Elephas maximus indicus: one gene and its partners. The protein of the gene in region 1 interacts with the protein of each later gene in a pairwise test. Links are inferred from orthologs where the notes say so. Each region holds a gene or a part of one and is shown in the gene's direction. Other genes may lie near its edges.

Region 1 (7,301 bases):
TCCATAAGACTTGCCATGTGGAAAATGGATCTCTGGAACGCAGTGCAGGCTGTATTTGGAGGTGAGTAAGTTTACACCATCCCAAAGGGGCCCTGCTGACATATGAATTCGAATTGAACAGCAATTAGTCATATTTTCTTAAGCAGTGTAAACTATCATCCAGAAAAAGGGTCATCTCTTTTATTAAAGATTGCAGGAAATATGTGATTCCACATCACTGAAAAATGGTAACATCTTGATGAATTTTCCATGTTATTCTTTCAGTTGTTACAGTATTGCACTCCTGTTACTAGGTCTTCTGATAATAGGCAAGTCTGTAGGAGCTGTAAAAGGAAAAGGGTGATTGTAGGGGAAGTGGGGTGGGGTATTGTGTGCAGGTGTGTGTGTGTATGAGATGAGGGAAAATGAACTTTTAACAAGAAGTACAGGCTACAGGGGAAAAAAATGGTGATTCTATGGTAGTTTCCAGTCACTCCTCTACAGAGAGGTTCCAAACAAAGAAAGCTGTTCAACAAGTCTGGAGATTTAAAGAAAACAGTCCGCTAGCATTTAGCCTTTAAAAAAAAATGTATATATATATATATATATATATATATACACACACACACATATATATACATACACAGAAACATATACACACACATATATATTCACAGACACACACAAAACTGTATTCGAAAAGTATGCAGTTGTCTCCAATTGCTAGTCTTTCAAAATGACAAAAACTTGCCGCGGTAAAATTCCTTCAAGCAAAGGATTTTAGGAAAAGTTATGGAAAAGTTATCGGCGTTAAGTGACATCGTGTATTTGCGCCCCCCCCCCCCCAGCAGGAGAGCACAGCTAGCTGCAGCTCTCTGGGGGAAGCTTTCAGAAACGCTCTCTAACCCCAGGGAAGGATGCCACACAGAAATCGCCCGACCCGAGCAGCCTGAGGCTCGGGTGGCCAGCGTCACCCACCCGGTTTACTACGGATTCGGGCACCATTCACCCCTGAAGGGCCTTTCCGAGAGGCGGACCCCCTTAGCCGCGCCCGACCTACCAAGTGCCAAACCTTCCCTAGCCCTGTATTTGCTAGGGTGGTAGGGGCGGGCGTGCGGACCCGCTCCCGGCCCCTCCTGACCCGGTCCCGAGCCTCGCAGGGCTCCCATTTGGGCTGCTTAGTGGCGCCTGCACGCCCCGTAGCGGCAGCAGAGCGCGGACCCCGGGATTGTGGGGTCAGGCCCCGGGCTAGGGCGCCTCGTCCGGACTTGGCTGCGTCCGGCCGGGCGCCGGCTCCGGGCCGCGGGCGCGGACCCAGGACGCCGAGGGGCTGGGAACCCGAAAGCCCGCGCTGCAGGAAGAGAGGCAGTGGGCTCGGAGGTCGCAGCGGAGGAGGAGCATTGGCGGTGGGCTGGTTAGGGCACAGCCCGCGGGCAGCTGCGGAAATTCCGCCCCTGGCCAGGATCCCTCGGCCCCGAAGCCAAACCTCTCCGCTTGCTTTAAGTGTCCTTCAGAGCCTGGCCGGGCCTCGAGGTCACCTGGGCGCGGGATCCGGGCCCCGGGGCCCAGCTTTATCGCCTCCTCCCCGGCCCGGAGGCCTTGAGCTGGGTCCGCTTCCCCTCCCCCGGCGCTGTCTCCGCGGTGCGGCCGTTGCTGGAACGGTCGCAGATTCTGGCCCGGTGTCTCCCACCTGGACATTTGCCTAGCGACGGCCGCCTCAGCCCTCTGCACAGCGTACAAGAAACTTTCCTCTCTCTCCCTTTACGCTCTCCTCCCTCTCCCCTCTCCTCTCTCTCTTTTTCTTCTCTTAATCCCGGGGTTTTATGGGCTGAGCATTAAGAAAATTCGCCTGCAATTTGGGATTAGATAAATACTCTTATGGGGGGGGGGGGAATTCCATGCTACTTGATACCTCCCGACTTTCCTGAGACGGGTGGCAGCATCTGGAGCCGAAAGCGTCGGACTCCCGCTCGGCGGGCCCTGGGGACCGCGCGACACATTCCAGCGCGCACCGCCTCCCCATTTTGCCGGGCTGGTCCTGGACCAAGGCTCCGGCTGCCGGCGAAACAGGGCCCGGAGGAGCAGGAGACGGAGAGATTGCGGCACTGGGGCAAGGGCACGCACTCCGGCGCAGGCAGGCCAACCCGGGCACACAGCGCGCAGGCCCGGGTGGCTGCTCCGGGCTACGGATGCGGACGCCGCCGGCGCGCGCTCCTGGACGCTTGCACACTTCCCCCACCTCCAAACTAGTGAGCTCCAGCCAGCGCCTTGCCCCGGAACTGGGGGCGGGGGTGTCTTTCGTTTCTTTCTTTAACTCTCAGCACCATCTCCCGGGCTCCGATACCGGGGCTGCTGACTGCAGGCCGCACGGGCTGCCCCTGGCGGGGGCCTGCGCAAGCCTGAGTGTGTCCGCTCCGGGGGCCAACGATGCGCTCAGCGCAGTTTCTTTTCCCCTTAAAGCTTCCCCCCGCCCCCCGCATCATGTTTTTCCTTTCCCCTCGTTCTTTTATTCTGCTTTCCCTCTCTCTCGCTTTCTCTCCCTTTTGTGAATGGGCAGCGGTGTCTTTGTTCTGGAGAGAAGCGCCCGTGTCGCTGACTTTTGTGAACCAGAGAAGGATCTTGTAAAACCTCCTTTTCTCCTTCGTACTCCCCCACTCCCGCCCCTCCTTCCCTGCCCCTTTGATTAGATGTTCCTTCATCGTCAAAAAAAAAAAATGTAATTTCGTTGGTCTGGCGGCCACTTTCTTTGAACATTAGCTCGCTTTCAGCTCCAACTTCAATTAGAAGGAGTTGATTTTGAGAGATCAACAAAAGAACCGACCAAAGCCTTATTAAGGTCCTAAGAAGATCTCCCGGGTTCTTTGAGAAGCAGTTAAGGAAACAGTGTGCCCTCCATCATATTCTGTTACCGTATTTTATTCGGACTCCAAAGGAAAGTGTCGCTTGGGGGGAGGGGGAAGCACTTTGATGAGCTGCAGCCGCGGCCTCTTTTCACTCAGTGGGCTGCCCTTCCTCCTCCTCCTCGCCCAGCCCCCGGGCTGATGACGGTGCCGGACTCGGCGCCCCGGCCGTGTCGGCGCTCCCGAGCCATGCGCCTATCGGCTCCGTGACTCGCCCTCACACTTAACTGCTGCTCAAACTTTTCCCTCCGCCTGCTGGGGTGGGGGGATTAGAAAGAAGGGATGGGAATTCCTCGAAAGGAAATAAAGTCGTGCCTAGTATTCAGAAGGTGGTGCCATTGAAAACAACTGGCTTGTTCAAGGCTGGGGGCGAAAACGCTTTTTCTGCTTTGAAAAATCCACCAAGGTGGATGGGTAGGAGTTTGTTCGACTGGGAAATAGGCTTCGCCAGTAGGAACAACCCGGGAAAATCGCTTCAAGGAGGCTACTTCCGGGGCAGGTGGAAAAGAAGTTGAGGACAAGGGCCTGTGGCCACGTTTTGACCAGACTGTCCCTGGTAGCTGAAAATGGGAAAGAAGAGCAAGACAGAGTGGGAAAGAGAAAGTTTCCTATCAAAATCTTTCGATTCAGAAGAAGCGTGTGTGTGTGAGGGGGAAGGGACGCTGGGCTGGAACGTTTCAGAAGAAGCGTTTAGAATCTAAAAACACCCTTCGGGGAACAGGGCACGCCGAGAAGCAGGTAGGTTGCGGTGTCTCCCTTGCGGGTGCCATTTCCCAGCGCAGAAGTCTTGAGGCGCCGAGAAGGCATCTGCGCGCTGGGAGCTGCTCCCGCGCTCTGCAAAGTTGCCGGAGCCGGCACGAGCCGCCCGCGGCGTCCGCAAGCAGGTGACGGCGCTGGGAAGGAGACGCTGGGGCCCGCGCAGCCGCCAGAGGGGCCTGGGGCCCACGCTCCTCGAGTCCGCGGCCCCTGAGTCCTCGCGCCCATACCCGGGCCGCCGAGCCGGGTGAGCGCGCGGGAGAGCGAAGAAACCGGTTCTCCAGCACCTCGCCGCCACTCCCTCGGCCGCGCCGCGAAGGCGGGAGAGGGGGGAGAGGGGCGGGGGCCCCGGGCCAGGCCTCGGGACCCGCGCCCCTCTGCGGCCGGGGCTCCGGCGTTGCGCTCTCCTCGTTCGCCTGGCTTTGCGCGGCGTTTGGCAGTCGAGCCCCGGACTTAGCGCGCCACCGGGGCGGGGCGGGGCGGGGCGGGGCGGGCGGGCGGGTGGGGACAGCGGGGTGCAGGGGGCGGGGGAGGGCGGGGGCGCGCGGAGGTAACCCTCGGCTCGAGCTGCCATTGCCCGGCTCCCTGTCACTCAGCCCGCGCGGGGCCCCCGATTGGCGGCCTAGCCCCGTTACGCACTCGCCTCGCGTTCACATACTCGGGGAGGGCAGTAGAAAGGTGATCAATCTTCATCTGGCTACATTTCCAATCACCTAAACAACCGAGAAAGACAAGCCACTGCGACAAGGTAAATCGCTTGATTTATTTAGTTTACAAAGTGTCTGTTCAAGAATTCCCCAGCCCCTACCGCCTCCCTCCTGTACCAGGAGTGCAGCAACAACCGCGAGCCTCCTCCCAACTCTGTCCCTCGCACCCCCTCACCTCCTCCCTGCGGCCCTACAGCTCGATCCCCGGCGAGGCAGTGTCCCAGGAGCGTGTAGGGTTTTGCCAACAAAGTGTCTGTACAATAAAATGAAACTTGGAGGGACACACATAAAGCCACTGGGAGGGAAGAAAGAGATGGGAAGAGGGAAACTGGAGAAAGAAAGAAATCGGGGGTCCCAGACCAGCCTCGTCCAGTCCGGCGGGTAATTCCTGCGCCCCTCTGTTTTGCAGGTTGGCTGCCCGGAGGGTCTCGTTGAGGGCGCGAGGTAGATGGTGAGCGGCCGCGACAACTGAGGGCAGGTAAGGAGAAAGCCCAGGGGCCTCCCGGGACGCGGGGAGCGCGTCGGTTGCTCTTGCTTCCACCTCTTCAACTGGGTTCCGGCTTCCACAGGTCCTGGGCTGGGGGGCGGGGCTGGGGGGAATCGGCCTGGCGCCCCTCTTGGTGCGTGGAGGACCCCAGAGCGCGACTACAGTCCGGCGCTCCCGCCCGCCCAGTCTCCCCCGCCTCCTCCGAAGTGAGCGAGCTGAAGTGCTAAGTTTGGAGAAAGTCTTTGAATACACTGCAGCAGCCTAACAGAGCCGCGGTGGCTGGAGTCCCGTTCTCCCTGGGCCCAAGAACCCAGGCTGTTTCTCCTCCTCTCCTTCCCTGTAAACCCAGGCCGCAAGTCCCGGAGGACCGGGGCAAGGGCTTCTTTAGCTCTAACTTCTGTCCCTGAACTTCCTAGCCCAGCTTCCAAGGCCCGCTTTAGAGAGTTCCTGCGAAGCGGGATGAAGCGACAGGGCCCCTGGGCTCCAGCCCCACTCCTAGCGCCCCTTCCTGACCCCTGACACTAGAGCCTCGGGTTTGGGAAGCTGCGGAAACGAGGCTTCAACCTTCCAGTTAGGGGCTCGCGGGTTATGCCTCTGAGGCCTAGTTTTTTAGTTTCGGTCAGGTCCCGGGGCCGCGGGGTCCAGGGAGCAGGATAGGCAGGGGAGCTCAGGGGATCGGCTACATCCAGGCCTCCCAAATCCCCGAGGTCTTTTGGAGCGCCGAGCCGGTCACGCTTCAGCCTCATCCCGGGCCCCGTTGTCAGCAACAGGACCCAGCAGAAAGAAGGCCCGGCCCGCACCTCGGAAGAAGGGCCCGAGGCTCCGGCAGAGGCACCCGCCACCTCAGGCCGCGTCTTGCAACCACCACCTCTACGGTGGCCCCTTTTGCGTCTTTTGGTTGTGTCTGGGAGATCTGGGCCAGTAACTGCGCTTGAGGTGTGGTGGGATTCTGGGTGAGAGATCTTTCAGGGACTAGGCACAAAGGTCATCTGGAGGGGTGGCTGCGGACGGTGGGGCCGGGCCCCAGCTGCGGAAACCTTTAAAGAAACGAAGCCTCCCAAGTGGGCTCCGCGTCCAGAAGAGGCCAGGGGCGCCGGCCCTCCGCAGTGCTTCACCTCGGCCCTCGGGAGTGTCTACCTTTTCTTCCCGCTTTCAAGACATTAGAAACAAAACAGAATAACCCTTCATGTTCTGGGCAGCCTGCGGCCAGGGGCTGAATGAACGTTTGGTTGTTCAGCATGAGGCCGGCTCCCGCCGGACTCAAAATTTTGCTCAGGCTTAGGACCCTGCTTCCCCCTTGTTGAGGGCTTAGACCTCCCCAGCCCGGCCAGGCTTTTAACCTCTCCTCACTCCCAGCTCCGCCCTACGAGTGTCTTTCGCCTATTCTAAGCCCCAAGAGAGGCATGGAGACTCAGGAAAGTTCATTTTTCAAAAAAAGCTGTGGTCTCTGGATTTAGGCCTTATGGAGCTGAGTTGACCGCGGCGCTGTGCAGTCCCGGAGCCTGTGCACCCTCCCCATCCCGAGGTTTCTGACCTCGGACAGTACCTGGGAGCCAGGGTGGCTTGGATTGACGGTTACCATGTGTGTCATGTCTCCTAGGCCGGGCCCCCAGACGCAACAGAGCTCAAAGGATTGCGCGGTGGGAAGCCCGCACCGCGCCAGGCCCCCGGCCCCCTGGATCCGTCGGGGCGCCTCCACCCGGCTGTTAGCATGATGTCTTACCTCAAACAACCCCCATATGGCATGAACGGGCTGGGCCTAGCCGGGCCGGCCATGGACCTGCTGCACCCCTCCGTGGGCTATCCGGGTGAGCACCGGCCCTCCCAGCCCCTCCGCCCTTGCAAACGTTAGGGATCCTCAGTCTCTCGGGTCTGAGGCAGCCTGTTGCCGAGTAGGCCCAGGTAACCGATTGCCTAGTCTGCTTTCAATGCAAAGCTGGCTGCAGGCGCAGACAACAGAGTCAGGGGTGGGTGAGATGGACCAGGGCAGTGAAAAGGTGCAGCAATCGCCCTTCCAGCCCAACCGTGGGGGCAACCTGTCTACTGTTGTGCTCCCATCGCCCACACAGTGCATTTACCCACGGATTCGTTTCCCACGGGTGGCTATTACTTTTGTGGATCTAATCACTTTTTTCCCCCAGCAACGAATGAGAAATCTGAAGTCCCAGTGAGCTCTAACGGAAAGAGCTTGGCCCTAAGGCCTAACTTCCCTTATGTGAACATGCAGGCTGAGTTGAGGAAGGGTGGCCCTCCCCTGGACCTGTGGCTTGTACCAACTCTTCCACTGCTGAAGCTGACGGCTTGAGCCGAACCCTGGGTTTCTTTTCCAGTTTCCACTACTGCACCCCCATTTATTCTCTGAGTGTTTTCAGATCGTGTTTCTATACACCCTTCTCCCACCCCCAGCCAGCGTGTGTGTCGAGTGGAGGGGATGTGGAGGAAGGGAGATTACCTGACTTCTCTCCCTTTTTT
Region 2 (7,034 bases), on another chromosome or scaffold:
AAGTGATTCTGACTCATGGTGGCCCCATGTATGCAGAGTAAAACTGTTCCATAGGGTTTTCAAGGCTGTGACCTTTTAGAAGCAGATTGCCAGGCCTGTCCTCAGAGGCACCTCTGGGTGGGTTCAAACTGCCAACCTTTGGACTAGTCATCAAGTACATAACCATTTGTGCCACCCAGGGACTCCTAAGGTGTTGTATAAGCTACATATTCTTTGATGAGGCTGACAGTGGGCCAAGTACTTCGCACATGTTAACTCAATCTTCTCTGAAATTCTCACTCCCATTTGATAGGCAAGCAGACACAGAGAGGTCAAGCAACTCGCCCTAGGTCACACAGCAAGGCTATGCCTGGCTAGATTCAAGCCTAGGTTGTGTGGTCCAGGCCAGGCCTTGAATGCTGTATAAAGTACAGTGGTGGCTGATGCTGGTCTTATTAACAGTAGCAGTGTTACATTAAGTGTAAGGAATGATAATGATGTTACCCTAACTAACTGTAGGCCACGGCTCACCAAGCCCTCCCACCTTCCCAGGGGCTCCCAAGCTGGTAACGACAGGGCACACACGGCTGAACTGGAGGGTCACCCCATCCCAACCTCCTCTACCAGGAACACTCAGTTGGGGGTCTCCAGGGATCCCAGGGGACCAGTCACAAGGGCATCAGTCCCTCAGCCCTGCCCAGGGGGGTCAGGGAGGGCTCCCTGGTGGAGGGGGCATTGGAGTGGGGCCTTGAAGGTTGAAGGAGGGTATTCTAGGTATCAGGAACAGCGTGTACACAGGCACAGAAAGGCACCCAGCAGGAGCTATTCTCTAATGTGAGGCTGGCGTGATGTGTGCAGGAAGAAGGGGCCTGGTTCCTGGAAGGGGGGTTTCAGGATGATGACTGGTGGGTTTCAGGGAGCAGGAGTGTGAAACCAGAGCTGCCCTTCTCTGGGCCTCCCTTGTCTAATGTGCACACTGGGGCATCCTCAGGGCCTCCGCCTTTGCTGTTTCCTCTGCCTGGAATGCCCTTCCCTGCATCTCCCCATGGCCCAGCCACAGATGGGGCCACGTGTGTCAAAGCCCCAGCCCTGTGCTGGGCCTGTGGCAAGGGCCTGGCTTCCATATGCCCTTGTCCCAGATACACGAGCTACACACCAGCCCTGCCCCGAGCTGTGGTTTTCCCGAGAATTCCAGCACCAGCCGGGAGCGGCCCTCAGGTGAGCCAGATGCCAAGGAAAACAGGAGGTGAGCTCATGGCCCGGCCACAGGCAGCAGGCAGGGCAGGCACTGTCGGGGCACGGGCTTTGCAGGAAGTGCCCGGGCCAGGGCTGGCTACAGCCACCTGGCCTCTCCTGAAGGCTTGTCCCTGCTCACTCATCGTCTGTGGCTCCCCATTGCCCTCAGAAGATACCTGAGCCCCATACCACTGGCACTGCCCTTCCATAATCCATTTCCTGATTATCCTTGAACCTCAAGCTCTCACCACCCCAACATCCCTTTTTTTCTTTTTTTTAATTCTAGTAAATACATGTAACAAAATTTTGGCCATTTTAACCATTTTTATATACCTTTTTTGTTGTTGTTGCTAGTTGCCACTGAGTCAATTCTGACTCATGATGACTTCATGTGCGCCGAGTAGAACTGCTCCATAGAACTTTCAAGGCTGTGACCTCTCAGAACTAGATCGCCAGGCCTGTCTTCCTAGGCTCTTTCACCATTTTTAAATGTATAATTTGGTGACATTAATTACATTCACCACTATCCATTTTCAAATGGTGGTGCGGTGGTTAAAGCGCTTGGTTGCTAACCAGAAAGGTTGGCAGTTTGAATCCATCAGCCACAGGCTGCACCTGTAAAGATTTATAGCCTTGGAAACCATAGGGGCAGTTTTACTCTGTCCTATAGGGTCGCTACGAGTCGAAATCGACTCGATGACAGTGGGTTTGGTTTGCGTGAAATAGAAACTTAAGTAATAACCTTCCATTTTCCCTTCCCCTAGCCCCTGGTAATCACTAATAAACTTTGCCTATGCACTGGCCTATTCTAGATATATTACATAAGCGGGATCATACAATATCTGTCCTTTTGTGTTTGTGTCTTACTTTCCTGAGTATAACATTTTTGAGATTCATCGCTATTATAGAATGTATCAGGACTTCATTTATCTTTACGGCTGAGTGACATTCCACGAATGGACCACATTGTGCTTCTCGATTCATGTGTTGACGGATACTTGGGTTGTGTCCACCTTTTGGCTATTGTGAATAGCACTGCAATGAGCTGCTGACATATTTCGGCTCATTCCTACCTCAGGGCTTTTGCTTCTGCTGTTCCCCTCGACCTGGAACATCTTTCCGCCATCTCTCTGCTCAGTATGTCCTTCTCATCTTCCAGGTCTCAGTGTTAGTGTCCCCTCCTTCTCTGGGAAGCCTACCCTCACTGCTCCCCACCTCCAGTCTGGGTCAAGCACCTCCTCAGAGCTCCCACAGCTGACTGTGCATCCTCCATCAAAGCTCTGATATCTCTGTGTTGTCGCTGTCTGATTACGTAGCTGCCTCATCATCAGACTGGGCGTCTCATCAGGGAAGGGCAGCGGGTCTGGCTTGTTCATGTTGTGTCCCCAGTGCCCATCATGAGATGGAGTTAAATGCTCTGGTGAAGGGGGTCAAGATTTATAACTATATTACACTAATTGTAATGGTGGGTCATTACACATAGTATGTGCTCAAGACACACCTGTAAAAAACAATGAATGCGCCCAAAATGTCCCCACCTCCAAGCCTTTACCCAAGAGCTTCCCTCTGCCCTTTTCCCTCTACTGACCTGAGTCTTCCCTTTCATGTTTCCACTGTCACTGCCTCCAGGAAGCCCTCAGGGACTTCTCTGCAACCTCTGAAGAATAGATCTGGCTATGACTCTAGCTTTACCCTTGTCCTGCAAAGTGGTCATAAGTCAGGTTCTTCCTCTCACTGGGCCTCAGTTTCCCTGTCTATAGAACAGAAGCAGTGAGTGCTGGAGGGCTGGGTCAGTGAGGGTTAACCGACTCATGGAAGGAATCCCAGGTGTTTTGTAGGAGCTCCAAAGCGCTGCTGGTCTGGAAGGGACTATTTTCCTGATTAACAGCAATTTTTATTTGTACTACAGGCTGTTCCCACAGCAGCTGGAGCTCAGCTCCGAAGGTATGGTGCAGCCTCAACAAACATGAGCCCTGGGCCCCCTCTTGGAGCTCCTCCACTGGAGCCCTTAATTCCATCCCCTCTGGAGGGGGGCTCACCCCCAGCGGGGCACTAACATCCCATTGCACAGATCAGGAAACTGAGGCACAGATAAGGGTGGGCTTCGGGTGCATGGGCCACCAGACTCCTCTCTCCATCCCATCTGGAGAACTTCAAGGAGGGAAAAGTGTAGCAGAGTGGGCAGGGGTCTCAGCTGCCATCGCCAAGGGAACCAGGACCTGTAGAGGAACACTGAGAGTCCCTGTTCTCACACCTCTGCCCTCATCATTTCCCTCTAATCATTAACATCATTACCAACAATATTTACTGCCCCATTGCACATGGTGGGAAACTGAGGCACTGAGCCAAGTCATTGGCCCACTTGCCTGGTTTAGAAGCAAGTCAGGAGGGTGCAGAGGGTGGGTCTGCCTGATCCTATAAAGTCTGACCCCAAAGCCTGTATCCAGTCACTGTGACTCTGTTTCCCCAGGTGTGAGCTGTGGGAGCCACCATGGGGACAGCCTGGCTTCCAGCTGTGCCCCAGGCTTGGCACACAGCAAACGCTCAATAAATGAGCGGGAGGACTGGAGGGGTGGTCCCGCCTGACTTCCCCATTCACCGCCCCCCCTCACAGGCCCCCTGAGTCAGTTTCCCGGTTCAGCCCTGAGCCTGGTTCGCCGCCTGGCAGGCGGGCTGGACGTTGAACGCAGAGGCCAGCGGCACCCCGCCCGTCTGTTTACCTTGGGCTGGGCTGGGCCGCCGGTGGGCCGTCCCCGGGCGCCGCTGGATAAATAAGCCCTGCGGCCTCGTGGGTGGCAGAGCTGCGCCACCGACCCAGAGCTCCGCTATGGCCCATGCCACCGCCTGCGTTTTCTTGCTCGCCCTGGGCACCCTCGTCGCGTCAGGCCAGGGCCAGGTCCAGCTGGGTAAGCCGCGCTCGCCCCGAGGGGACGGGGGGCAGGCCTGCGGGAGACCGAAGGGCGGATTTCCTGGGGGCTTGCGGGCTGTTCGCTGGGGCGCTCAAGGGCAGAGAAAGCAGGTGTCGGGGGGCGGGAGCCCTGAGTTCTGTGGCGAACCAGAGGAGCAGAGTGAGAATCACAGGTCCCCGGGGCGGTGGTGAAGGCGGCGGGAGTCTCCGCACCCCGACGCCCCACCAGCGCCCCCTGACGTCGCAGACGCAGACCTGGCCCCGCAGATGCTACGGGAGCTCCAGGAGACCAACGCGGCTCTGCAGGACGTGCGGGAACTGCTGCGGCAGCAGGTGCGGGTGGGGGTCGGGGCCCGGGTCGCAGCCAGGGTTGGGGGGGAAGGGAGAGGAGTCTAGGGGAGGGAGGTGTGTAAACGGGGTGAGGCAAGGGGGTTAGAGAAAGGGGGTGAGGGGACCAGGGGAAGCGGAGGGAGTCCCGGGAAGTGAGAGAACATGGTGGGGGGGGGGGGAGAAGCAAGGCGGTCTGTGGAAAGGAGGTCCAAGGGGAGGAACTGGGGGAGCCCGGAAGGGGCCCCGAGGGATGGGAAGGAGCCCCCGCTGATAGCCCCCGTCCCCGCAGGTCAAGGAGATCACGTTCCTGAAAAACACGGTGATGGAGTGTGACGCGTGCGGTGAGCGCCGCGGGGCGGGCAGGAGAGAGAAGGGGGGAGAGAGACAGAAAAGGAGACAGAGCGAAAGACCGAGGGACTGACAAGGAGGGAAAGACAGAGACGGGGAGAGACAGACTGTGGGAGACACAGAGACCGCGCAGAGATGCAGGGAAGTGGAGAGACACACCGTGGGGAGAGGCAAAGTAGGGGAAAAGGAGCGGCGCGGGAATGTGGTGAGGGGGGCTAGGAGACACCCAGAAGGCCAAGAGTGGAGCCGGGGTCTCCCCTGCCGCTGGGGTGGGGTCCTGGCTACCCACCCCCTACTCTGGTGGTCCTGCCCGCCCCGCCCCCGGGGAGAGGTCCTGATCACCCACCCCGTCCCTGGGGTGTGGTCTTGTCAACTTGCCCCGCCCCCGGGGTGGGATCCTGATTCCACCCCACTCCCCCTCCCCCTTCCCAGGGTGGGGGTCCTCATCGCCATGCCCCGCCCCTTGCCCATCCTGCCCCTCCCGGAGTAGTCCTGACTCACTGCCCACTCCCGGGGTGTGGTCCTGACCGTCCGGTCCTGCCCCCCTCCCACCCTACGCAGGGATGCAGTCGGCGCACACTCCCGGCCTAAGCATGCGGCCCCTGCCCCAATGTGCACCTGGCTTCTGCTTCCCGGGCGTGGTCTGCACGGAGACGTCGAGCGGCGCGCGATGTGGCCCCTGCCCTGAGGGCTTCACCGGCAACGGCTCGCACTGCGCAGACGTCAACGAGGTGCGCCCGTCCCCGACACCCCCCCTCGCCCGGACGCCCCCTCCACCGCTGGCGGCCCCCACTTCCACGACCCCCTCCACTGCCGAGGATCCCCGCTCTGACGACCCCCCTACCGCTGGGGCGGAACCCCAACGAACCCCTTCACCTCCTGGGGGTGTCCCCCTCGACGACGACACCCCTGCCGCTGGGGTGATTCCGCCTAGACAACCCCCTTCACCTCTTGAGGGTGCGGGCCCTGACGACGCCCCCCCTACCGCCGGGGTGATTCCGCCCCCACGATCTCCCTCACTGCCCAGGGGCTCACGCCCCGACAACCCTCCCACCTCCGGCGGTTTTCGGTCCCGACCAACCCCCAACCAACGGATTCGGCGTCTCCAACGACCACTCCCTCCCGCCGCTGGGGACGCCCGCCACCGAAGTCCCTTCCCCCGCCCATGAGCACCCTGCCCACCAGGTCTGGGAGCAGCCCCCCTCCAGGAGTGCCCTCCCCAACTAAGCAAAGGCAGGTCTGATCCCTGGGAAAACTGCCTCCGCCACCCCCGCCTCCATGGCGCCCCTGCCCATCCCATGGACCCCTGCAAGTCCAGACTGAAGACCTTTGAGATGTCTGAGTTCACGCCTGGGAAGTTCCGAGGCGCCGCGCTCTGACCCCCTGCAACCCCTCCGTCCGCAGTGTAACGCCCACCCCTGTTTCCCCCGCGTCCGCTGCATCAACACCAGCCCCGGCTTCCGCTGTGAGGCCTGCCCGCCCGGGTACAGCGGCGCCGCACACGAGGGCGTGGGGCTGGCCTTCGCGAAAGCCAACAAGCAGGTGAGGGGCGCGGGGGCGCCAGTCCCAACTTATGCAGGAGGAAGGGGGCCCTTTTCGTTCAGTAAACAAGTCCATCAGCCCCAGTACCTCTTCCCAGCCCCAAAGCTACAGGGAGGAGGAGGAGACTAAGGTCTGGGGGGCGGAGAGGAATTAGGAGGAGCGGAGTGGTGGGAGGGTGGGGTGTCTGAGTGGGCGGTGACCTCTGCGTCTCCCCTCCCAGGTGTGCACGGACATTAACGAGTGTGAGACTGGACAGCATAACTGCGTCCCCAACTCTGTGTGCGTCAACACGCGAGTGAGTCCGGTGTGGCTGGGGAACGGGGATAGGGACGGGGTGGGAGAGCCTGTGGCCCGCGCTGACCGCTTGCGGCCTCGCGCAGGGCTCCTTCCAGTGCGGGCCGTGCCAGCCCGGCTTCGTGGGTGACCAGGAGTCCGGCTGTCAGCGGCGTCCGCAGCGCTTCTGCCCGGACGGCACGCCCAGTCCATGCCACGAGAAGGCCGACTGCGTCCTGGAGCGCGACGGCTCTCGGTCGTGCGTAGTGAGTGCGGACGGGGGGGCGGGGCGGCAGGGGTGTGGGCGGGGCGGGGGCCAGGGGCGGCCCGGAGCTGGGGGGCGGCCTAAGCGGGCGTGGGAGGGCGTGTCGAAGGGGGCGGGGGCAGCCCTGAGGGGACGCGCACCCGTTCATCTCCA
Region 3 (6,836 bases), on another chromosome or scaffold:
TGGAGGGCATTATCCTGACTGAAATACTTCAATTACAAAAGGACAAATATTGTATGAGACCACTACTATAAAAACTCATGAAAAGTTTACACACAAAAAGAAACAATCTTTAATGGTTATGAGGGAGAAGAGCGGTGGGGACGGAAAACCACTAGACAATAGATTAGTGGTTACTTTGGTGAAGAGTAAGGCAGTACACATGGAAACACTGGTGGTGTAGTGGTTAAGAGCTATGGCTGCTAATCAAAAGTTGGCAGTTCCAATCCACCAGGTGCCCCTTGGAAACCGTATGGGGCAATTCTACTCTGTCCTATAGAGTCTCTATGGGTTGGAATCAACTCAACGGCAATGGTTTTTTTTTTTTTTTTGCCTTTTTTTTTTTAAGGCAGTACTTTTTTTTTTTTTTTACACAATACTGGGGAAGCCAGCACAACTTTTACAAGGCAAAGTCATGGAACCTCCATAGGCACATAGCATCTGGGGTCTTAAAAGCTTGTAGGCGGCCATCTAAAATACTCCACTGGTCTCATCCTGTTGAAAACAATGGAGAATGAATAAAATGAAAGACACATGGGAAAGATTAGTCCAAAAGACTAAAGGATCACAACTACCACAGCCTCCAGCAGAGTGAGTTCAGCACTAGATAGTGCCCAGCTACCACCACTGACTGCTCTGACAGGAATCACAATATAGGGTCCCAGAGAGAGCTGCAGAAAAATGTAGAACAATATTCTAACTCACAAAAAAACAACCAGACTTACTGGCCTGACAGAGACTGGAGAAACCCTGAGAGTATGGTCCCCGGACAACCTTTTAGCTAGTGATGAAGTCACTCCTCAGATTCACCCTTCAGTCAAAGATTAGACAGGCCCAGAAAACAAAACGAGACTAAAGGGGCAAACCAGCCCAGGGGCAAGGATTAGAAGGCAGGAGGGGACAGAAAATCTGGTAACAGGGAACACAGGTCGAGAAAGAATGTTGTGGGGCTGGTAACGAATGTCACAAAACACTATGTGTACTAATTGTTTAATGAGAAGCTAGTTCTGTAAACCTTCATCTAAAATACAACATTAATAATAAAAAAAAAACTATTCAAGCCTTGAGTTGCAATTTTGAAGGATTCAATGGGGAAAATATTAAATGAAGCAGAAAGCATCAAAAGAAGATGGAAGAATACAGAGAGTCACTGTACCAAAAAGAATTGGTTGACATTCAACCATTTCAGGAGGTAGCATATGATCAAGAACCGATAGTATTGCAGGAAGAAGTCCAAGCTGCACTGAAGACACTGGCAAAAAGCAAGACTCCAGGAACTGACAGAATACTACTTGAGATGTTTCAATAAAGAGACACGGTGCTGGAGGTTCTTGTTCCCCTATGCCAAGAAATTTGGAAGACAGCTACCTGGCCAACCTACTGGAAGAAATCCATATTCATGCCTATTCCAAAGAAAGGTGATCCAACAGAATGTGGAAATGACAGAATAATATAATTACTATCACATGTAATGAAAATTTTGCTGAAGATAATTCAAAAACGGTTTCAGCAGTACATTGACAGGAACTGCCAGAAATTCAAGCCGGATTCAGAAGGGGATGTGGAACAAGGGATATTGTTGCTGATGTCAGATGGATCTTGGCTGAAAGCAGAGAAAACCAGAAAGATGTTTACCTGTGTTTTATTGACTATGCAAAAGGCATCATAACAAATATGGATAACATGCATAGACCAAGAGCCACTTGTTGGAATAGAACAAGGCGATACCGTGTGGTTTAAAATCAATAAAGGTGTACGTCAGGTTTGTATCCTTTCACCATACTTATTCAATCTATATGCTGAGCAAATAATCAGAGAAAGTGGACTATATGAAGAAGAACGGGGCATCAAGATTGAAGGAAGACTCGTTAACAACCTGTGATATGCAGATGATGCAACCTTGCTTGCTGAAAGCGAAGAGGATTTGAAACACTGATGAAGATCAAAGATTACGGCCTTCAGTATGGATTACAACTCAGTGTAATGAAAACAAAAATCCTTACAACTGTACCAGTAAACAACATCACTATAAACAGAGAGATGATTGAAATTTTCAAGGATTTCATTTTACTTGGATTCACAATCAATGACCATGGAAGCAGCAGCCAAAAAATCAAATGACGTGTTGCATTAGGAATATCTGCTGCAAAAGATCTCTTTAATGTGTTAAAAAGCAAAGATATCACGTCAATGACTAAAGTGCACCTGTCCCAAGCCATGGTATTTTCAATTTTCTCATATGTATTTGAAAGCCGGACACGGGTAAGGAAGACTAAAAAAGAATGGATATTCTTGAATTATGGTGCTGGCGAAGAATATTGAATATATCATGGACTGCCAGAAGAATGAACAAATCTGTCTTCAAAGAACTACAGCCAGAATGCTCCTTAGAAGTGAGGATGGCCAGACCTTGTCTCAGGTACTCTGGACATGTTATTAGGAGAGATCAGTCCCTGGAGAAAGACATCATGCTTGGTAAAGTAGATGGTCAGCAAAAAAGAGGAAGACCCTCGATGAGATGGATTGACACAGTAGCTGCAACGATGGGCTCAACATGGCAACCTCTTGTGAGGATGGAGCAGGTCCGGGCAGTGTTTCCTTCTTTTGTTGATAGGGTTGCTATGAGTCAGAACTGACTTGATGTTGATGGCGCCTCACAATAACAACGGTGAACATTTGCAGACCAGCACCAGTCAGGGGAATATACTGTAAAAAGCACTAGTATTCAAAAGTCAAGGATGTTGCTAGAGAAGAAATGAGTCAAGTAGAAGGTGAGAGAGGGAAGGTTGGTTAGCAAAGGAGCCTGACATAATGATAAAAATGTCTGACTATATGAGCATGCAAGCAACGGAAATCATGTATACTTACAAGTAATCTGCTTTAAAAAGGGATGAGAAAAAAGCCTAATCATTCCTGCCAGGAACTCACTCCTCTTCCCACAGAGATCATATCGGATGAGAAAGACACCCGTTTCCTAATTCTTCCTTCCGAACACTTCAATCTAATCATCTAATCTAGCGCTCATGATGCATTAAAGTGTCTGAACGCTCCTTTGCTACCATGCTGGGCCCCGCTTGTGACTAGAACAATTATCAGATCTGATAGCTACCAAGCTGTTCCCAAAGGATGCCCAAGGCCCCAAGTATCCGCACTTCTGTTAATCATTTACCCACGGTTTCGCCCACTCAAATCTCTCGCTGCCGTGGTGCAGACGCCTGAGCCAGCAAATATGCCCCAGACCAGAGTCACCCGAGCGCTCTGAAATAATTCTTGGGGACAAGGGTCCTATTTCTGGATGACGAAGCCAATAAAGTAAAGGACCCTCGATAAAGCAAAACTTGCTTCACTTTGCACGTTCTAGAACTCCACACGGGGAAAGCTTCCACGCGGAGCCCGGTGCTGCGCCCGGTTCGCTCCTTTTCAGCGTTCTCCTACAGCCCAGCATAAAAGAACGTGGGCTGCGGGTGAACGCGAAGGTGCAGGAGCCCCCGCACCAGGTCCCGGTGCCCCCGCGCCCCGCAGACCGCGCGCCCTGCCCGGAGCCCCGCCGAGCCCTCCGCACAGTGGGCGCGGCCATGCGGGCGCGGGGCCGGGCCGCGGGCGGGAGGGCGGGGCCGTGACTCAGGCAGCGCCGGGGCGGCAGCGGCCCCTCCAGCGGCGCCGGGCGGGAGGCTGCGCCCGCGGCGGGACGCATGCGCGCTGCCGAGCGGCGCCCGCTCCCTCCCGCCCGCCCACCCTCCTCCTCTCCCCGCCCCCGCCTCCATCCTCGCCTGGCTGCCTCTCGTCGCCGGCTGGGTGCTGAAGTTGGGCGGATGGCAGCGCACCAGCGCCGCTAGAGGACCGAGCCGCCCGCCCGCGCCCCCGGACCGCTCGGTGCGCTGCCCACCCTCCAGGCACTGGGTAAGAGGTGGCCGTGCAGGCTGAGCCGTGCTAACTGTGTGACAGCAAAATGTCTGCTTAGGCTGAGGGGTGCGTGTGTGCCCGCGGGGAGGAGGATGGAGGACAGAGGACAGAGGGGGCGGAGAGCGCTGCCCTGCCCGCGGGGCGCCTGCGGGCCGGAGTCCCCGCGGGGAGCTGCTCGGGGAAGTTGGAGCCGCGGGGCTGCCCAGCCGCTCCGCTCGCCGCCCTGCAGCTGCGGCCGGGGGTGACCGATGTCCGGCGGCGGAGGGAGGGCGCCCTGGGGGGTCCCCGGCGCCCGCGAAGAGCGGCGCCCGGGGCCAAGGCGGGGAGCGCTGGGCGGGGGCGGGCCTGGGGGCGCCGGGTCCTGCGGGGGAGGGGGCGTTTGTGATCGTTTGGTTCGGAAGCCGACTGTGGAATTCAGGTTTTTAGCGACCCATCTCCTTCGGGTAATACCTTCTCTCCCTTACCTTTCTTTGCCTTTGGGAAAATGCACTATTCAGGTGAGGAAGGTGTAAGCCGGGGAAGGGTTTGCAAAAATGAGTACCTTTAGCAGCGATCAAGTGTGTGTGTGTGTGTGTGTATCGAGGCTCGGGGTCTCTTTTGTTCCTTCCCCTCCTCGTAGTCACAGGAAAGGGAGTTCTGGTGTGGGTTCATGGGGTCGATTGCACAGCCAGCGAGGGGGCGAGGAGGAGGAGGAACGCCCACCAGCCCTCGAACCGCTGCCGGGGTGGGTGTATCGGAAGCACCCTCACTGTGGGTGATGGGGATTCTTCTTCTTATTGATGGAATCGGTTTAATAGCTGCCTCCTCGCCAGCCTTCTCCTCCTTTGCCTTTTCCTGGGCTGCGGCAGAGGCGGGGTGCAGATATTGCTCCTCTTCTCTCTACCTCCCGATCTCCCTGAAAAATGTCGGAGGACTTGAGGATGGCGGAGGGAACGAGCTGGCCACGCAAGCCACGGATCGGGAGATGCTCCCAGCGAGCGGGAGGTGACAGGCAGCGCGCCCGGGTAGCCCGCTCCCGCCTTGGGAGTCCCTGGGCTCCCGGAGATGGGGCAGGGGTCGCCTGGCCAGAAAGATGCCCGCAGCTCGGGGACCCGCCCTTCGCCGCCATCCGGAGCCCGGGACACCGGCTCACCTGGTTTTGTCTAGTCGCTCCGGGAAGACGGACTCTGGCTCCAGGCATAGTTTCCCTAACCTCCCTGACCCTTCGCTAAATGCTTCCTTCTGTAAAAGCGTCGCTGGAAGGTTTGTCTAGAGAACTTTGCAAGCTTCCCATAGTTTTTTTTTTTTTTTTTTTTTTTACATTAAGATTCTTTCCATCCTGGAATAGCAATTAAAAAAATTTTTTTTAGATTACAAATAATAAAGAAAAAGCGTATAGTTCGGTTTCCATCTAGAATAAGCGTTTCTGAGTCGATGACATCTCCATTTCCGGTGTTATACGCACTGGTTTTCGGCGTGATACGCCGCTCTGAAAATCATTTAATTTAAGATAAATCATTTTTACTCTTGGAATTGAAAATAATTTTCTCCTGGATTCATAGCTGCTAGATACTTAGGTGGAAACCCTGGTGGCGTAGTGATTAAATCGTGCAGCTGCTAACCAAAAGGTTGGCAGTTTGAGTCCACCAGGCGCTCATTGCAGACTCTATGGTGCAGTTCTACTCCGTCCTACAGGGTCGATATGGGTCGGAATTGCCTCGATAGCAATGGGTTTTTGGTTAGATACTTAGGTGTATCAAGTAATTTTGAAAACTGGGAAACACTTGAAGTAATACAGGGTCGATATGGGTCGGAATTGCCTCAATGGCAATGGGTTTTTGGTTAGATACTTAGGTGTATCAAGTAATTTTGAAAACTGGGAAACACTTGAAGTAATTTGTATTTGTTTCTAAAGTCTTCTATAGGAATAGTAGTAGATGCCCATTATGGCACTAATACCTAATGAAAAAGTGATTTGTAGTCATTAATTCCAATGATTGAGAAGTTCAACCTTCTCCAGTTAAGTTACTGTTATTGAGTTATTTTTTCCGTTAGCATGAACTAAAGAAAAAATAATAATTAGCACACTCAAGGAAGAGTAGATTTATTCACTCTTTTTGTCATCTTGAAAAGTATATATAAGGCAGCTATGAAAAAGCAGTTAATTCCCAGTTTTCGGAAATGAGGAAACAAGTGTTTATCATTACAAAAAGACTGGGTGATATAATTTCTTAAATAAGATAAATCTCCATAGCAATGACACATGGTCCCAGAACCCTGGGCACTCATCCTTCCCCTGAAACTGTAGTCGGAAAGATTAAGAAAACCACCCAGTTTACAGAACAACAAAGTGTCGTTGTGCCAATTTCAACCATTTTTGTTCTGGTTCCTCAACTACTGTTTGGTGTTCAGTCCCCAGGTAAGGGAATTAACAGAGTTAATTTGCAGGTCCTGCTTAGTTCTAAGTCACCTAGCTTTTCCTTCTCAAATAGGTATCTCATTAGGTTTAAGAATATTCTTGCTGGATATTAATTTGCTTGAACTCATAATGTTGAAGGTCTAAGTCCATTATTACTCCTGTGGACTTCTTATACTTTTGCATTATCATCATAATAATGAAATAATAGTCTTCCTTGATATTTCCTACCACTACGACTAGGGGCTTTGAAGAAAGGGATAAATAAATATTCTTAGCCATTTGGCCTCATGATAACAATCTAATAAAAAAAGATCTAAAGCTAAATTGATAAAATTCTGGCTGACTCATAGGCTAAAGAGTAAGAAAGCATCTACCTGTCAATCCACAACTGTAGAGATAATGGCTTTCAGACTGGAAGTCCATTAACTGAAGCACATAGGCTTTTCTGGAAAAATGGAAGGTGGGCATAGGTGATGAGGCATGGAGCTTAAGAGGAATG
Region 4 (7,058 bases), on another chromosome or scaffold:
TATAAAGTTCCATCACCACCTTCTATCAGTCTGTCATACTATGGTGGCTTTCGTGTTGCTGTGATGCTGGAAGCTATGCAGCCGGTATTTCAAATACCAGCAGGATCACCCACGGTGCACAGGTTTCAGCAGGGCTTCCAGACGAAGGCAAACTAGGAGGAAAGCCCTGGCAATCTACTTCTGAAAACTCGCCAAGGAAAACTCTATGGATCAAAACAGAATACTGTTCAACATAAAACTAGAAGATAAGCCCCCTAGGTTGCAAACCAACCATGGACTTAAGCATGCCAGTGATCACGAGGAGCGTTTTGTTCTATGGTACGTGGGGTTGCCATGAGTCAAAGCTGCCCCCAAGGCAAATAGCAGTAACAACAACATCAAGTTCTAAGGCTGAAATCAGTGGCTTGAGCAATTTCAGAAGCTAGAACTAGAGATGTTGATTTGTTTAAAACTGTATTCTTCTATTGTTATTGTTGCTAGTTGCCTTCAAGTCAATTCTGACTCATAGTGCCTCCATGTTTAGGGCATAAATCAGAAGTTTAGATCAGTGGCCAAGTGCAACCTTGATAATACCTGACTTTAACTCACCCAACACACATACTAGCAAAGAATCCTGTCTACATCGGCCCCATAGACACATTCTACCCAAGACAGGAGATGGCAAAATTGACATGCATTTTCTACACTGATCTGGTTTAAAAAAAAATTTAAAAAAGAAGAAGATTATAGTCATAAAATAAAACAAAAGCAAATACAAATAAATGAGGAATTAGAGAAAATAAAATGAAGCCAAAGATGAAATCCCAAATGTAGGGTACACAGTCTTCAATGGCAAGAAGTAGGAAGGCACGTTACTTGGTGAGTCCCAATGACTCGGAGGTATTGGTGCAGCACAGGTTTCCATGGTTTCAGTAAATTTCAACATTAGGCAAATAAGAACATCTGTTCATGCATCAGGACGGCCTCTCTAGAACCTTCCACAACACACCTGAAAATGAGCTTCATTGTGAAGTTTTATCTAGTATTCCATCATGATTCTCCAATACCTCACAACGTTAATCCAAGTTATGTATTTCGGAACGCAATAAGGGAATCAATTTGGGGACACATTATCATGGTTGCACTAAACACCTCATATTGTATTCTTCTTTTGGATTATAACTCGCCAAGTGAACTTTACTACCTACCCATTGCTGTCCAGTCAATTCGAACTCATAGTGACCCTACAGAACAGAGTAGAACTGCCCCATAAGGTTTCCAAGGAGCAGCTGGTGGATTCCAGCTGCCACCTTTTGTTTAGCAGCCGAGCTCTTACCCACTACACCACCAGAACTACAAGTAACCTTTAGAGCACAAAAAATAGCTCTCCGCCCTTCACTATCTGAAAAAATAATAATTGAACTAATTAAAATAAAGACTAAGAAGTAAATGAGAAAGAATCCAACAGATTCTTGTTTTAACTCTGTGCATAAGTTACAGGCTGAATGTTTTCCCAGCCAGCAAGCCGGAGGGTGCGCAGGAAGGAGAGGGGAGCTAGTTTACATGGTATTTCTTCAAGTTCATGCAAGACAAACATGAATTACAGATTCTTCTCCACTGGCTTAATAAAAATATAAGGTGCTCTAAGGTCCCTGCGTGACCTAATGCACTCAACTACTAAACAGGATTGGCAGTTTTAATCCACTCAGAGGTATCCTGGAAGAAAGGCCTATCTGCTTCCGTAAAGATTACACCCTCAAAAACCTTAGGCAGCAGTTCTACTCTTTAACACATGGGGTCGCCATGAGTCAGAGTGACTAAAAACAGTTTTTTTTGTTTTTTGTTTTAAAGGGGCTCTTTAACTAGCCTTAAGTTCCTAACTTAAATTCCATTTTATGCTTTGATTTCTGACCACGTGTCTTCGCAAAGTTCCTGCAGCTCTGGGAGAAAGGCATAGATACAACTGTATCATAGAAACGGCCACCGTGCAGGAGTCTGAAGGGTCGAAGAAAACGCATTTCCTTCACCTGCTCTGCCCTAACCTTGTTAGCTAGACGCCAGCAGCACAGTCCCACCAGCTTTGCACAACCTGGCTGTGGCCCCAGCACCTTACCCTTAGTAAAAGCAAGGGTCCTTCCTAAGTACCTCACCTCGCGTTCAAAACGCAATCGCTCTGCGATCCGAAGAGATGGTGAGGAAAGCTACCTTCTGTGGCTTTTAAATTATAAACACCTTTTTCTTTTTTTCCATTTTGAATCAGCCGGCCTGACGCACATTTTGGAAAGCAACCCCCTTCTGCTCGCGTCGAGTGCAGTGCTTCGTGGAGAAAGCAGGCGCAGCCCTGCGCCCCCCCGGGCGCCCCCTGGTGGTCTGTCGGGCCGTAACGCAGCTGCGCCTCAGTTCACCCGGAGGCTCAGTGGACTCCCGCATTCAGCGGGTAGCGGGGGCGAGGGAGGCCCCTCCGCCGCGCGGTGGAAGCCCGGGGGACGCCGCGGTGGAAGCGGACGTAGCCTCGTCCACCTTTCTCCACTCATAAGGTTGGGAACGTGGGCCAGCGTCCGGAAATAACGCATGCTACTTCCCCTGCCACTTCTAGTTCCAAACCTGGGGCGGCGGGGGAGAGTCCTGGAGAAACAAGGCGAAAGCGGGGCTAGAGCGCAGCGAGACAGGGAACGTGCGAGGGCATCCCAGACCCAGAGCTCTGGAGAAGCCAGCGAGTGCCAGGTAGCTGCGTACGGATGTGGGCCGGAGCTGGACTGGGGGAATCCAGCGCCACATTTTTCTAGCTTCAAGAACTCCCACCCCGCATGGGGACAAATTCGCAGGTGCTGTTAGGAATGTTGACCCCTACAAGCAGGTACTTTCCTGTAAAGGAAAATATTTCTGTAAGACATTAGGTAGAATAAAGTATCATTGGTGTTTTAATTTTCTACTTGTGCTTCCACGTGAAGCACGTTTCTAAGTAAATAAACAGCAGAGACGAACATATGCATGCATCTTACATTTTTGTATTTCTATTTATTCTTAAGTGGGAAAACACAATTCACCTTCAAGACGGACAATAGGATCTTCTTGAAAAGTGTGCTAGGTAACAAGGAGACACAGAAATGAAGGATGCCTTCTGATTGAGTGAAGAAGGAAACCTGAAGTGCAAGTGGCACCCTCCCCATTTCAGAAGCCCACGATGTTGCTCTGAGTATTACTGAATTAACTACTTCCAGAAGGCTTAAATTTTAGAATTTCCTTGCACCCAACAAATCATTAAAAATGCTCTTCAATCATTAAGAACGCCTCCATCTATAGCTAACCCTCCTAAAACCAAAACCGATTAAACCTATTAAACAGAAAAACTACCAATCTAAACAATCAAAAGCAAACCCCGGCAAGAGAGTAAGGGACTTGAAGCCCGAATCTGCATTCCGTTCCTCCCGTACTCGGCTCCGAGGTGGGGGAGGCGGTTTGTGCTGGTGCCTGGTGTATAATCGGGTTAATCCGGGAGACAAAGAATAAACCAATAGCCCTCCCACCTCACTTCCCGCTCCCTTCCTTTCCCCCTCTCCTCCCCCTGCTCCCCCTCCCCGCAGGAGGGGGGACAGAAAAGGGGAGAGATGGACTTGAAGTCGGTTCCGGATAAAGTCTTAAAACCTGCATGCAACTTGTTTTTAATGCGAACATTGCAGAGCTGGGATGAGTTGTAAATGTTCACTCCCCTTTCCTAGTGGCGGGGAGAAAGTTCCATAAGTCAGACCGAGCTTATGGCTCGTCTTCATGGCCTCTGGGAAAACCTTAAGGTCAGTGTTTCCTTGAAACTAGATAAACTGACCCCGCCGTGCCCAGCCCAGCCCCGCGAGCGCCCCGCGTGACGGCGCCCCGGCTGCAAGACCGGCCAGAGGACGCGCGGGGCGGCGCGGTTGCCCTTTTGAATGCCTCCTGCGGCTCGGAGCGCTGGCGGGCGCTGGAGTGTGAGTGAATGTAGCCCCGCGGAGCCAATGAGCTGGGACCGGATGCGATATATCCTCTGGGACAACAACTGCTCTGTTCCGCCTCGGATCCACATGACGCCATTTACTGCTGCCGCGGCGGCCGCAGAGCTCCCTGCCTCCTCCGGAAAGGCGAGGGCGCAGGCCAACGGCGAGCCCCCCCCGGCCGGGCCACAGGCCCACCTCCTCCTCCTTTTCCTCCTCCTCCTCCGCACCCACCGCCCTAGGCTCGGCCTCGCCGCCGCGCCTCCGCAACGCCCAGTCTGCACCGCCGAGAGCTGCGCGCCGCAGCGCGAGCGGAGGACAGGGGCCGGCGGAGCGCGCAGCGCCCAGGCCCCCGCGCCCGTCCGGCCCGACTCGCGCCCCCGCGCCGCCACCGCTCCGACACAGCTGAGACCGCACGACTTGGCGATCTGGCTTTAGGTTCTCTGTAAGGCCGTTTTCTTGTCTCATTCGCTCGTTTGCCAGGGAAAGAGACTCGCCGTTGGCGCTTCGGCCTCCTGTTCATTGAGAAAAAGAGGAAATACTCCGCGTGCGCTTGTAGAAGGGGGGTCGACTCTATCCCCGAACACCGGAGTGTTCATCGGATAGCGACTTGGCACCCGGTTTTCTTTACGTTTCATCCGCCGATTGCTCGGAAGTTGGACTGAAACAGAGTTTGGAAAGAAGGGGAAAAAGTTTGCGTCGAGGCTGGATTTATTTGCACATCGCAGTTAGAAGAGAATCCAAGGGAGAGGAGTTGGTGCAAAGCCGCGATCACGGTGAGGCGCGTTTGGCTCTTCCCCTCCTGGCTCCGTGGCCGGCGTGTCGCGGGCAACATGGAGTAGGTGCAGCTGGACTGCGAGTGGGGTTCATTTCACCTCGGATCTCCCTTTCTGTAACCCCGCAGGTTCCCCACGGGGATCAGGGGTAGCTGCCTCGTCCCGGACTCGGTCTTGGCCCGCCTCAGCGGGGACTGCCGTGCACACCCCGCGCAGTATCCCCGCGTCCTCCCTAGCCCGGCGACCCCGCGCACCCGCGCTCGGGAGGGTGGGGGGTGGGTTGGGACGACGATCAGGTTCTCAGGAATCAACTCCTGGCCCTGCGAGGGCAGCGAATTGGACTCTGAGAGCCGGGAGAGGGAAAGCATTTTGTGTTTTCCAGGTCGTCTTTGCAGGCGCGGGGATTTGTAACCTGTTTCTCTCCTGGGCAGGCAAGTCCTAGGCGACGCTGTCCCTAGGCAGGGCTCCGACGGGCCGAGGGTGCGCGGGTGGAGAGAGGCCCCCGCCTCTGCCTGGTGTGGACGGGGGCGAGCCCTGTGCTGGTGGGAGCGTCTCCCTGCCCGGCGCCGTGTCTCTGCGGTTTGGAAGTGGCGCTTTCTCTTTTTTCCGTTCTCCGTGGTCGGCCTGGGTCATGGTTTTATTTTTGGAAGCTTGGGCTGACCCAGCACAGGAAGAAAGTCATCAAGTGGTAGCGATCATTTTCCATTATCTGAAAATGGGTGGCAAAAGAGGCTATTTTTTTCATTTCCTCTGATGGGCTGATTTTTTTTGTTGCTGTTGCTATTTTTAAATTTCGGTATCTTGTGTGTTTTTACAGAGCGGTTTCTCTGTGGGTTTGCCCCACCCTAGTACCGAAGTCCTTTCCTCCTAATCCATAGTCTGATCACACACTGTTATTAATGGGGGTTTCAAAGCACTTTGGGCTGGGGGGACTGGGAACGCACTAAGTGGCGGGGGTGGGGCGGGGAAGACTGGGAAGAAGGAGACCAAGAATCGACAGAAATCACTTTAAAAAAGACTACTTAACTTTCTTTTAACATGCTGCTCTCAACTTGCAGTCACATCTGCGCTGAATGTTTGCAGCTCAGGCATCTAAGTCCTGCCTGCGCGGCGAGTGCAGTGGCGCCTTGGAAAGCGCCCTAAACTCTTAAAACAATTTCTATCTTTAAGAAATGTGTGTGTGTGTTTAGTTTCTCTACACCGAAAGTAGATAATAGTGTGCAGATTGCATACAGTGTCCACTTAGGTCAGTGCAGCGTGGAGTCGCGCGAGGTTAAGTATGGGCGTCAGGGCTGTGTACCTTAGGCAGGGCTTTCTTCCTCGCCGCGTCGGTGCTGGAAACTTAGGTCCCGCGCTCAAGGGCCTTTTCAAAAACGCCCTACGGTGGGGTGTGTGACCCCAGCCTAGGAGTGGAGTGGCTCCCTCTTGGGGCTGGAAGGCGGCTCTCAGTTGGGGTAATGGGAGCGGCGGCGGGGGAAGCGTGCTCCTGCGTTTCGTGACACGTCCCTTTTGGAGGCGCCCGTGCCTCCCCCCACCCCCCCACCCCGCGCGCCTTTCTGTCGGCCTGGGGATCGTGCACGGTGGGAAGGGGTGGGGCTGGCCCCTGGGCAGCGTCAGTCCGCTCGGAGAAAACTCTCTCGAGGTTCCGGCTGAGTCCCACCTGCTGGGGACGGCGTCGGGGCGCAGATAGAACCGATAAATGGAATGAAAGCAGAGAGCAACGTTGTCTTGTCTTTCTGCTGGAGGTAAGGAGGAGATCTGGCTTCCAGCTCTGTCTTGTTCCCGAATTGCTAGGCGTGTGTCACCTGCCCTGTTCGCTGTGGTTCTGTTTTCTGAAAAGGAGAGGTTGGATAAGGTTCCTTTTTTTTTTTTTTTTTTAATGAAATCATGGAAAGGGGGATAATAGTTTGGAAACTTACAGAAGGATTACAGTTTAAAGGGATTACTTGTCAAAATGCTAAATTCAAGATGTGACACTTGAATTTTTAAAGCTTTTTTTTTTTCCTCTTCCAGTTGATTTATGTTCTCAACTGTAAGTTTTTTGGAAAACAAGCAAATCGGTTAAGATTTTGACATAATTCTTATATGCAGCAGGATGCAGTAACCGTTGGCCTGCAGAATCTAAGGTATTTTTCCTAGGCTATCAGGTTATGAGATCCTTGATTCTCAAGTTGTTGGAAGGTTGAGAATAAGTTCCTGTCTGGTTGCTTGTTGTGTAAGTTTGATTTAATGTGTTCCTTGCACCTAATGGTATTTGAATTGATTTGTTTTTAATCCCATATCTTTGTGCTGTTATATAGTCATACACAATGGCATGCTTGTAAAATTTATAACTATT

The links.
Region 2: the proteins of OTX1 (region 1) and COMP interact in binary tests that used the Homo sapiens proteins (3 or more experiments, as listed by UniProt). The two-hybrid records come from large-scale screens. The link is inferred for Elephas maximus indicus from reciprocal best matches to the Homo sapiens genes OTX1 and COMP.
Region 3: the proteins of OTX1 (region 1) and RGS17 interact in binary tests that used the Homo sapiens proteins (3 or more experiments, as listed by UniProt). The two-hybrid records come from large-scale screens. The link is inferred for Elephas maximus indicus from reciprocal best matches to the Homo sapiens genes OTX1 and RGS17.
Region 4: the proteins of OTX1 (region 1) and SPRY2 interact in binary tests that used the Homo sapiens proteins (3 or more experiments, as listed by UniProt). The two-hybrid records come from large-scale screens. The link is inferred for Elephas maximus indicus from reciprocal best matches to the Homo sapiens genes OTX1 and SPRY2.

Annotation. Positions count from the first base shown.
Region 1 is NC_064835.1:73,744,884-73,752,184, reverse strand, and holds the start of OTX1 (homeobox protein OTX1), read left to right. Parts: upstream 1-4,298; 5' UTR 4,299-4,383; intron 4,384-4,751; 5' UTR 4,752-4,820; intron 4,821-6,391; exon of another isoform or gene 6,392-6,429; 5' UTR 6,430-6,540; coding exon 6,541-6,637; intron 6,638-7,301. UniProt on the Homo sapiens protein: Probably plays a role in the development of the brain and the sense organs. Can bind to the BCD target sequence (BTS): 5'-TCTAATCCC-3'.
Region 2 is NC_064821.1:38,665,956-38,672,989, reverse strand, and holds the start of COMP (cartilage oligomeric matrix protein), read left to right. Parts: upstream 1-4,027; 5' UTR 4,028-4,042; coding exon 4,043-4,121; intron 4,122-4,370; coding exon 4,371-4,456; intron 4,457-4,742; coding exon 4,743-4,794; intron 4,795-5,362; coding exon 5,363-5,532; intron 5,533-6,205; coding exon 6,206-6,343; intron 6,344-6,563; coding exon 6,564-6,638; intron 6,639-6,723; coding exon 6,724-6,882; intron 6,883-7,034. UniProt on the Homo sapiens protein: Plays a role in the structural integrity of cartilage via its interaction with other extracellular matrix proteins such as the collagens and fibronectin.
Region 3 is NC_064819.1:224,721,732-224,728,567, reverse strand, and holds the start of RGS17 (regulator of G-protein signaling 17), read left to right. Parts: upstream 1-3,819; 5' UTR 3,820-3,936; intron 3,937-6,836. UniProt on the Homo sapiens protein: Regulates G protein-coupled receptor signaling cascades, including signaling via muscarinic acetylcholine receptor CHRM2 and dopamine receptor DRD2.
Region 4 is NC_064832.1:73,732,622-73,739,679, reverse strand, and holds the start of SPRY2 (protein sprouty homolog 2), read left to right. Parts: upstream 1-4,052; 5' UTR 4,053-4,720; intron 4,721-7,058.